2 linked regions of the Drosophila melanogaster genome follow. Changing the gene in region 1 together with any one later gene gives a genetic interaction. Each region holds a gene or a part of one and is shown on either strand. Other genes may lie near its edges.

Region 1 (3,668 bases):
AGATTTCTACAAATAAATAGAAGACCCAGAGAGGCGGCTTTTGAACTTCGAACTCTGGGGAAACGACTTCATCATTACTGGCATTTGTTGGACAAGCCTTTGTTGTTTTTCGCATTTTAATAATTAATGGAATTAATGGAAAGTACAGGCTCATAGCAATCGTTACTGAAATTGTCTTGTTTTTTGTTTATTTCATTTCGTACAATGCTTCTCCCTTCTCTTTTTGTCTTTTTTGCCTTTCTTGTTTTCTTATTTTCCTGCCGGCACACACACGCACACACATGCAGTTGCGCTCTCTCGCGCTCGCACACCAACACACTCACCGTTTGGGAGTTTTTGTAGTCAATCAACTGATTGGAAGCCGCATCGCGTCCAGCCATTTTGCTTAAAATTTAGGATATTTGCTCAACGGGATAACCAGAATTTAGAAACACTCGAACTGGAAAGTTGTTGATTTCTAGCCGCCTTCGGTTTTTTGCTGTGACTGCGTCGAGAATTCTGTCAACTAAAGCAACTGCAGCGCAGTTCCATTTGTTTTTATAGCCCAGCACCACGTACTTGTTGTTGCTCAGGGTTGTCGAGTGGGCCGAAGATATCGATATTTCGATTATAGTTGGAAATATATCGCTTAAATATTACATAATATCCATTATTATTCATATTTGTATTTAAATAGTATGAAATTCATTTTCAAAGTTTTTTTTTTGCACTGTCCATTTAAAAACGTGTCCCAACACCATTAAGATTTATTATTGATAATTTATAGTACCTTCGCTCCATTTGCTGCCCAGAAAGGTGAATAAATTTAAACTGTTTGTTAAGTTATTTATTTTTTTAATTTCATGAAAATGTCGGCATCATTAAGTTATAAACTAAGTCGGCTATCTATTGGTGCTCCTGCCAAATAAATATCTATGGCCTCTTTTTTTCTTAAGTTGTGAACCTCTTCCAGTGGTGCCTTTAAAATAAATGTACTTCATTCATATAATATATGTAAATATCATTAAACATGTTAAAATTATAAACTTCAAGGAAATCTCCAAATGGCGGCTATCTTTCTGTGGCTCCTGCCAAGCTAACATCTCTGTCTTTCTTTATTTTAGCGTACAAAAATATCTAATTAAATGAAACTTAGAAACTAGCATCAACTAGCATATGTATCTTGTTCTCTAGTCACAACTTAAAAAAATCACCTAACCACCTGTGGTTCCCATCAAGTAAATATCCATGGACTGCTTGTCCAGGACGGTCGGGCGCCTCTTTGGAATCGGCTGAATGTGCGGCAGTCGCGTGCCATTCACGGCGTTCAAACTGAGATTCGAGTTGGGGTCGTAGTCGTCGCAATCCGGAGTAGTCTGGGCCAAGCTCAGCCTCTGCGATGGTTTCACCATTAGGTTTGCCCTCGCAAGCTGGCGTTTTTGGATCGCTGCAGCGCTGGTAGTGGGCACATTGTCTGAATCTTGACTTAAGCTTCTGTGGGAGCACAGCTCTTCATCGGGAGTCACAATGCCCCCCTCACTGTATGAGGCACCGAATTCGGAACTTTGGCCAGAGACATGCAAAGAGGGCGCACTTTGGTGCGACGATGACTGACTGCCGCTGACGTCCGTAATGCTCGCGGCAGTCTCCCTGGCCATCTTGTGCCGTTTGGCATTGTCGTTCTTCTTCCGGTAGAGTCGCACCAGGTCCGTGTAGCACTTGCAGCAGATGAGGTTGCCCGCCCGAATTTCGCTGTTCAGCAAACAGGCGAAGCGCACCAAATATTTGTTGTTCAGTTGGCGATACGGCTTCCGCAGCGTGTGGTTGCCGACTGCGCAGAATCTCCGCTCAACGCGCGAGCCCTCGTCAATGGAGGCCATCTGGAATAGATCATGCACCTAGTTCTCCACAACTCGGGCTTACAAAACAATGCTTACACTGGCATTTTAACTTCCAAACGCAACAAAACGAAACATGAAGCCAATTGTCCCGCCACTTTGGAAACATATAGTGTGACCACATATGGATTGCTGAAATATACCAAAATTAGGCGTAAAATAAAATGCATTTAACTAATAAACAAATTCAATTTTTTTAAATGTTATAAAATCTAAAAACATACTGACATGGTCACAGTTTCTCACAATTTAAATGTGGCTTATTGTAATGCCAGTTAAGTAATTAATATGAAGAAACTATTCGTTTAAAATTGACAATAATCTAATTATTGGCGTGTTCGATGTTCATGAAATACTTATGTTATATCAGTTAGTTTGAAAATTGACTGTATTTCTTCTGTTGGTTGTATCAATTAAAATGAGTTTAAAAACACATTTTTTAAAACCCTAAAACCACATTCAAATCAAACTGTAATTATACCAACTAATACTGAAAATACCGAAAACTGCAAAATCAGCTGCTCGCCGAACAGCACTCAGCGTGCTGTTGGACGCGAAATGTTAGCCCATTAAACCCAGGTTATTTTTTGTCATTCATTGTTCATACGTTCGTCTCGTCTGATTTTCTTTTTATAAAAACACAATTAAAATTTCAAACGAATACACATAATTTTTATAAATATAATGTAGTGCAACACGTATATGTATAATATAGCTTAATACCAAGTGCAATCCCTCGAAAGATAACTTCAAATGGCAATCTAATTTACGTAAAGAGAAGAGACAAAAAAAGAAACGGCGCGTGTGAAATTTTTTCAAGCAAAGCAAAGGAGAGAAGTTGGAGCAACAAAAAAAAGAGGAGAGAAAAAATACAGCAACAACACACAAAGTAGGCCAACAACAACAGCAAGAAAAAAGCAAGCAAGCGGCAACAACCACAGCAACAACAATAACAACGTCGAGCGAAAGAAGCAAAAACCTTGTAATTGTGTCAATAAATGTTTTAAATAATATTTCCTTTGGGAAAGGCACCGTGTCTGTGTGCGCGCTTCGTGGTGTGAGTGTGCGAGACAAGTGAAATTTTCTTTGTTTCCCTGCGGGGGAGGAAAATACAAAAAAAAGAGTCAAGAAATAAAGTTGCCTTGAAACAACAAAAAACGCTGCCCCAAAAAAAGTGTATGCATGTGTGTGTGTCTGACTCGTTGTCTGCTGGTGTTGGTGAGTGTCTGGCCGTGTGTGAGTGTGTGTGGCAATGAACGTTGAGCAACAATAATTTTATTTATTTGGAATTTTGCTGCGCTGTTTGCTTGCTTTTATCTTTATAAATATACGCACAACTACAGCGCGATAAATGAATTATGAAAATAAAAGTCCCAAGTGCTCTTTTAGCAATGAAAATGTTTAGCCAAAAAACGAAAAGCAACAAAAACAGCGGCTTTAAGGCTGCTGGACAGGTTTCCCACGGCTAAAAAAAATGTAAAATACGAAAAGGAGCAACACGACGGCGACGTAGAAGAAGAAGCAGCAGCAATGCGTGAAACGCGAAAGCAAAGTGAAATTCAAGACAACAACAACAACAAACACGAAAGCATAGCGGCTAACAGAAACCGTTATTCAACAATTTCTTGAATAAAACAACAACGACAACAACAACAACATCGTAAAGCATACAAGTGAAAGAAGGCACAAAATACTGGTTTACACAAAATAAAAAAAGATAAAGCAGAAGAAAGAAAGCAAAGAGAGAAAAAGTTGCTGCACGAGAAATTTCGTTCGTGTATGGTCTCCCCA
Region 2 (4,453 bases), on another chromosome or scaffold:
TGAGCAGTTTCTGCGTGCCGTTCGGTTCGTTGTAGATGTTCATGAACTCCTTTTGCAGCGGATTGCCCATGAGGCCGAGTATGACGAGGTGGAACAGCTTGCCGATCTCGTAAGGCAGTACGCGCAGAAAGTTGTTGTTCAGCAACAGCTCCCTAAAAGGAGGCAAGACAATGGAGTGGCTTAGTGAAAAGCATGGATCAGTGATCAATAGGGTCTGCGCCCAGACAGCGATTTCACAATAGATCAACTGCTAAGGGTGCAATAGAGTATGAGACATAATAATAGGACTAAAATACGATTTAACAACGTAAATCATGTCCTATGCCAACCCACAAACTCACCGCAACTGGATGAGCTCGCCGAGCTCTGCGGGAAGACTTCTTAGCTTATTGCTGGACAGGTCCAAAGTTCGGAGGCTGGTCAGCATGCCAACGTCTGCGGGCAATCGCAGCAGCTGGTTGTCGTTCAGGTAGAGGGCGGTTAGATGCTCAAATTCCCACAGCGACGGGCTGATATTGCGGACGCAGCCTGTAAACAGATGTATGGTAGAATTAATATGATATTTTTCGGGATTAAGTGTGTGATACCCACCAGTAATCTCTAGGCCACTCCAGTTCGTCTTCTTGCCCGCAGCTATGTCCTCCTGCGACAGAAAGATCTGCTGCCGCCGATTGGCGCTGTCGTATTTGTCTTTGTTACGAGACATTTTATAATGATTGCCTGTTCGGTATATATAGAAGAGAGTTATATTAATATATGTATAAGGTAAGAGATAACAAGTTAAAATCTGGAATTGTTTCAAGGAAGTTAGGGCTCATGTTAGGAGACAAAACCTCGCTTAGCAACAAAAATGAATGCTTTGAGTTTTAGCTTAAATGTATCTAGGAGTATTGGAATCAAATCATAACCTTTCATAATAACCGCCTGATGATAAGCGTCTCTGCAAAATATTAATAAAGTGGTTTCCATTATTATTTTGTATTAGTAAACAAAGGTGGGTCTGAGGTCCGGGTTTGGTTTACATATACAGCTAAGGTAAAACTAATAGCAGTTCTTAAACATTATTAATTAAAATTTAAGTACAAGGTAAAAGGTCGATATGGAAAATACCGCCAAACTCAATAGTTGGAGGATTTTAGGAAAAATCTTTATATTTTATTAATAAATAGCATTGGATATGTATTTTGGAACGTTGTCTATGCACCTTTTTTTAAAGATACACATATTAGGCTTTAAAGAACTGCTATTGGCTTTCGCACAGCTGCGGATGGTAAATTGTAAATCATAAATAAATGCAAACGAAAATGATTTTGGTAAGCGCGCGCAAAGTGCAAGCACCAACACACACGCACACACACGGACGCGTAGCACACACAGAAACACTATACAGTTAGAAAGAAGAATGGCGTGGGCGGGCAAAACAAGAAGAAGAAGGAAAGCCGTATGTCGCATATTGAAAATCGTGGGTATCAGGAACCTGTGTAGGATTACCTGGCTCAGTTCACTATTCCTAGGAAGTCACCTCAATCGGAAATTCTGGCTCAAATTTACTCGCCGTCTCTCCTCGTTTCGCGCGCTCTTTTCGCTCTCCGCCTGCACTTACTCGAGGATTTTGAAAGAAAAAGGAAGCCGCAGCTGGGGATTCAGCAATATTCGATATTCACTGTGAAATTTAACCGACTTCTACCGTTTTTGGTGCCTTTATTTGGGTCCTATATTTGTTATTTTATTATTTTGCTGCTTTTCGTTCGTGTTTGTCGGAACAGAAGCGACGATTCTGCTAATCAACCTATTCGTTTTGGATCGCTCTTTCTTCTGCTGGGCCTCTGCTTTTCATTTATTTATCACGCGACTCGCTTTCATCGTCGGTTCTTGTTTTTGTATACATGGTGAGCAGTCGGAGTTGCCACTCGGTTTTATCAGCGGACGGTATCACGGCAAGATTTGTCCAAAATGCGTGCTTATTCGTCCAACTGAAGTCCGGCCTAGTGTTCTGATAAAGTGTGAGACAACGTTTGTTTGTAAAAAGAACTACTCAAATGGGATTTCAGTCAAAACAAAACAAGAGCACATCACACACAAGACGCACACATACACACAAGACGCACACGCACACAGATGGTCAAAGAGGTGCAGGGCTGAAAATAAAAACACGTAGATATTTCGTACTGTTTGCTTTACTAGCCACTTTTTTCGGTCAATGCTTTTTGCTGAGGACTCGGCTTTCGACGCGATATATTTTATGTAGTTTAGATCTCTGGATGGACGATTTATTTGTGAATTTATGCTGCTGCTACTATGTGTAAACTTTCGTTCTTCGCTTTCCTTCGTTTTCCATTTCTCTTTTGTGCGCTGGTTTGGCGTACGCGGAAATGCCCACTTGCTGTTAATCGGCTATCGGAAAGAATTTGCAAGCAGGGGCTCCAACTAGCGTATTGAGAAAGTAGCTATATTTTGTATGACAGTTAAGACCCCTGTTTTTTGAATTGATATTTTTTATAGGATTGAAATCAGGAGCTTTGAATTATTAATTTGTAAAATAAAATGAGTTTATTTTGACAGCAAACGAAAATACTTAGCTAGAATCGAGCTAAACCATTAAAATCTGTAAATACTGACTAATCGATAACCTTACAGAGTTTCGATAGATCCATTAGCCGCGAATGCCCTTAAAAAGTTGTAATTTATTTAATTTAATGTTGCGTGTTTTTAAAAAAAGGTTAATATGTCGGGGACGCAAATGTCTGCCTTCCTGAGAAAGTATCTAGCCGACGAGGACAAAAAAATTCGTGCGCAATTCAAAGAAAGCGATCCTAACAACAAATTGATTCTATGGATGCACGAAAAAACGGTAAGACGCATTTCATTTTGTAAATTGAAATTGTATATTGTATAGTATCCTGTATTTGAAGAGAATAACCGAGGAGGACTTGGCACGCCCATACACCGAGGACGAGGTAAAGGAGCTTTGTCTACGCACCAAAGTGAAGGTTGATATGACCGCTTGGAATTGTCTGTGGGAAGCCAAAAAGAGGTTTGAAGCAAAAGGACGTTTTGTGAACAAGTCTGAGAGATTCATCAACCGAATGTATATGAAAGCGGTGCGCAGAAAGATGGTCCAACCGTATCCGGAGGAGTTTGTGGCCCAGCGAAGAGAAATAGTTGCAGCCGAGACTAAGAAGCAGAACATCAGCCGATTGGATAGATGGCAAAAGAAAAAGAGTCAAAACCTATCAGCACCAGAATCCTCTCCAGACGCTCATGCATCTTCTAATGACGCGGTGCAGAGCCACGAGGACCAAGCAAACACAAATCTTAGTTCACTGTCTCAAATGAACTTTCAAGTGGAAGCGATGGCTCCGCCAGGCGTGTCGTCATCTGATCTTAGCGGCATCGGAGACGATGAGGACGAACAGCAGCAGTCAGGATTTCAGGATGAGAACATCAACCGTCCAGAGACAGAGATTAATGAGAATTCGGTGAGATGTGATCCAATTAATTTAGGAAGGATGCGGACTGGATGTATAAATTCGCAAGCAAATAACAGTTTCCGGAATACGGAGTCTGATCCGGACTACTATATGTTTGGCACCCAATTGAGCACATTAGTACGACCCACGTCGACTCAAGAGCCTGACGATCAGGTAAACTGTCCAGAGACAGAGATGAATGAGAGCTGGGTAAGGTGTGATCAAATTAATTCGGAAAGCTTGTCGATTGGACCGTCAATTGATTCGGAAGGAACTATCACTTTTCAAAATACAGAATCTGAGCCGATCGACGTCACCTCAATAGCCTGATGTCCATATATTAAACTATATAAAGTTCTTCATTTATTGGTGTTAATTAATTAAAAACATGTAATCCCTAAAAATGTTATAAAATGTATAATAAAAATCTTAATTAAAATACGATGGTCGATTAAGCTATGTACACTAATCTAGGATGATCCGCAACCGGAGCTGTACAAGAAGGGTAAACATTTAAAATGCTCGCTTTTACATAATTACGCTATGTACAATTTATATATTGCTAAACCATGGTCCCATGGGGCGCGGCAGGGGGCGGTGGGTGCTACGGGAAGTGGTCAAACAAGAACTGTTCCATGAACAGCGACTCCGAATGCTAGTTGGACGAATTGTCGCCAGGCTCACTGACCGCAATTGTCATCTTCACTTCATCGCCACTGTCTAGTTCTGGATCCTCGTCATCCTCCTCATCCTCGCAATCATCCATATCGTCCTCGTCGAGCTCCTCGTCTTCGTCGTCCTCTTCGGTCAATTCATCATCCTCCTCGTCGTCCTCATCATCGCCGAAACTATCACCCCCGCCGCTGGCCTCCACAGTCGGCAGCTGAACGATCGTGGCCCCGCCCGGCGTCACAGTTGAGCCTGCAACCGTGGCCGCCACACTGGAGGCTCCACTGCCCGCCGCCGCTGAACCGCCGCCCGGA

What was found.
Region 2: of HipHop (region 1) and cav, changing one enhances a phenotype caused by changing the other (phenotypic enhancement), as found in Drosophila melanogaster (one study listed by BioGRID).

Annotation. Positions count from the first base shown.
Region 1 is NT_037436.4:18,819,498-18,823,165, reverse strand, and holds HipHop (HP1-HOAP-interacting protein), read right to left. Parts: upstream 1,996-3,668; 5' UTR 1,860-1,995; coding exon 1,194-1,859; 3' UTR 813-1,193; downstream 1-812. Other genes in the region: Cat (catalase), read right to left, coding at 324-380. UniProt on the Drosophila melanogaster protein: Part of the HipHop-HOAP complex that recruits the MTV complex to form the terminin telomere-capping complex, which binds to chromosome ends in a sequence-independent manner and prevents telomere fusion.
Region 2 is NT_033777.3:24,219,624-24,224,076, forward strand, and holds cav (caravaggio), read left to right. Parts: upstream 1-1,907; 5' UTR 1,908-2,118; coding exon of another isoform or gene 2,119-2,130; 5' UTR 2,131-2,284; coding exon 2,285-2,302; exon of another isoform or gene 2,303-2,342; intron 2,343-2,618; exon of another isoform or gene 2,619-2,719; coding exon 2,720-2,851; intron 2,852-2,912; coding exon 2,913-3,800; 3' UTR 3,801-3,905; downstream 3,906-4,453. Other genes in the region: twin, read right to left, coding at 1-152, 342-528, 592-720, 909-940, 1,205-1,224; Spps (Sp1-like factor for pairing sensitive-silencing), read right to left, coding at 4,126-4,453. UniProt on the Drosophila melanogaster protein: Part of the HipHop-HOAP complex that recruits the MTV complex to form the terminin telomere-capping complex, which binds to chromosome ends in a sequence-independent manner and prevents telomere fusion.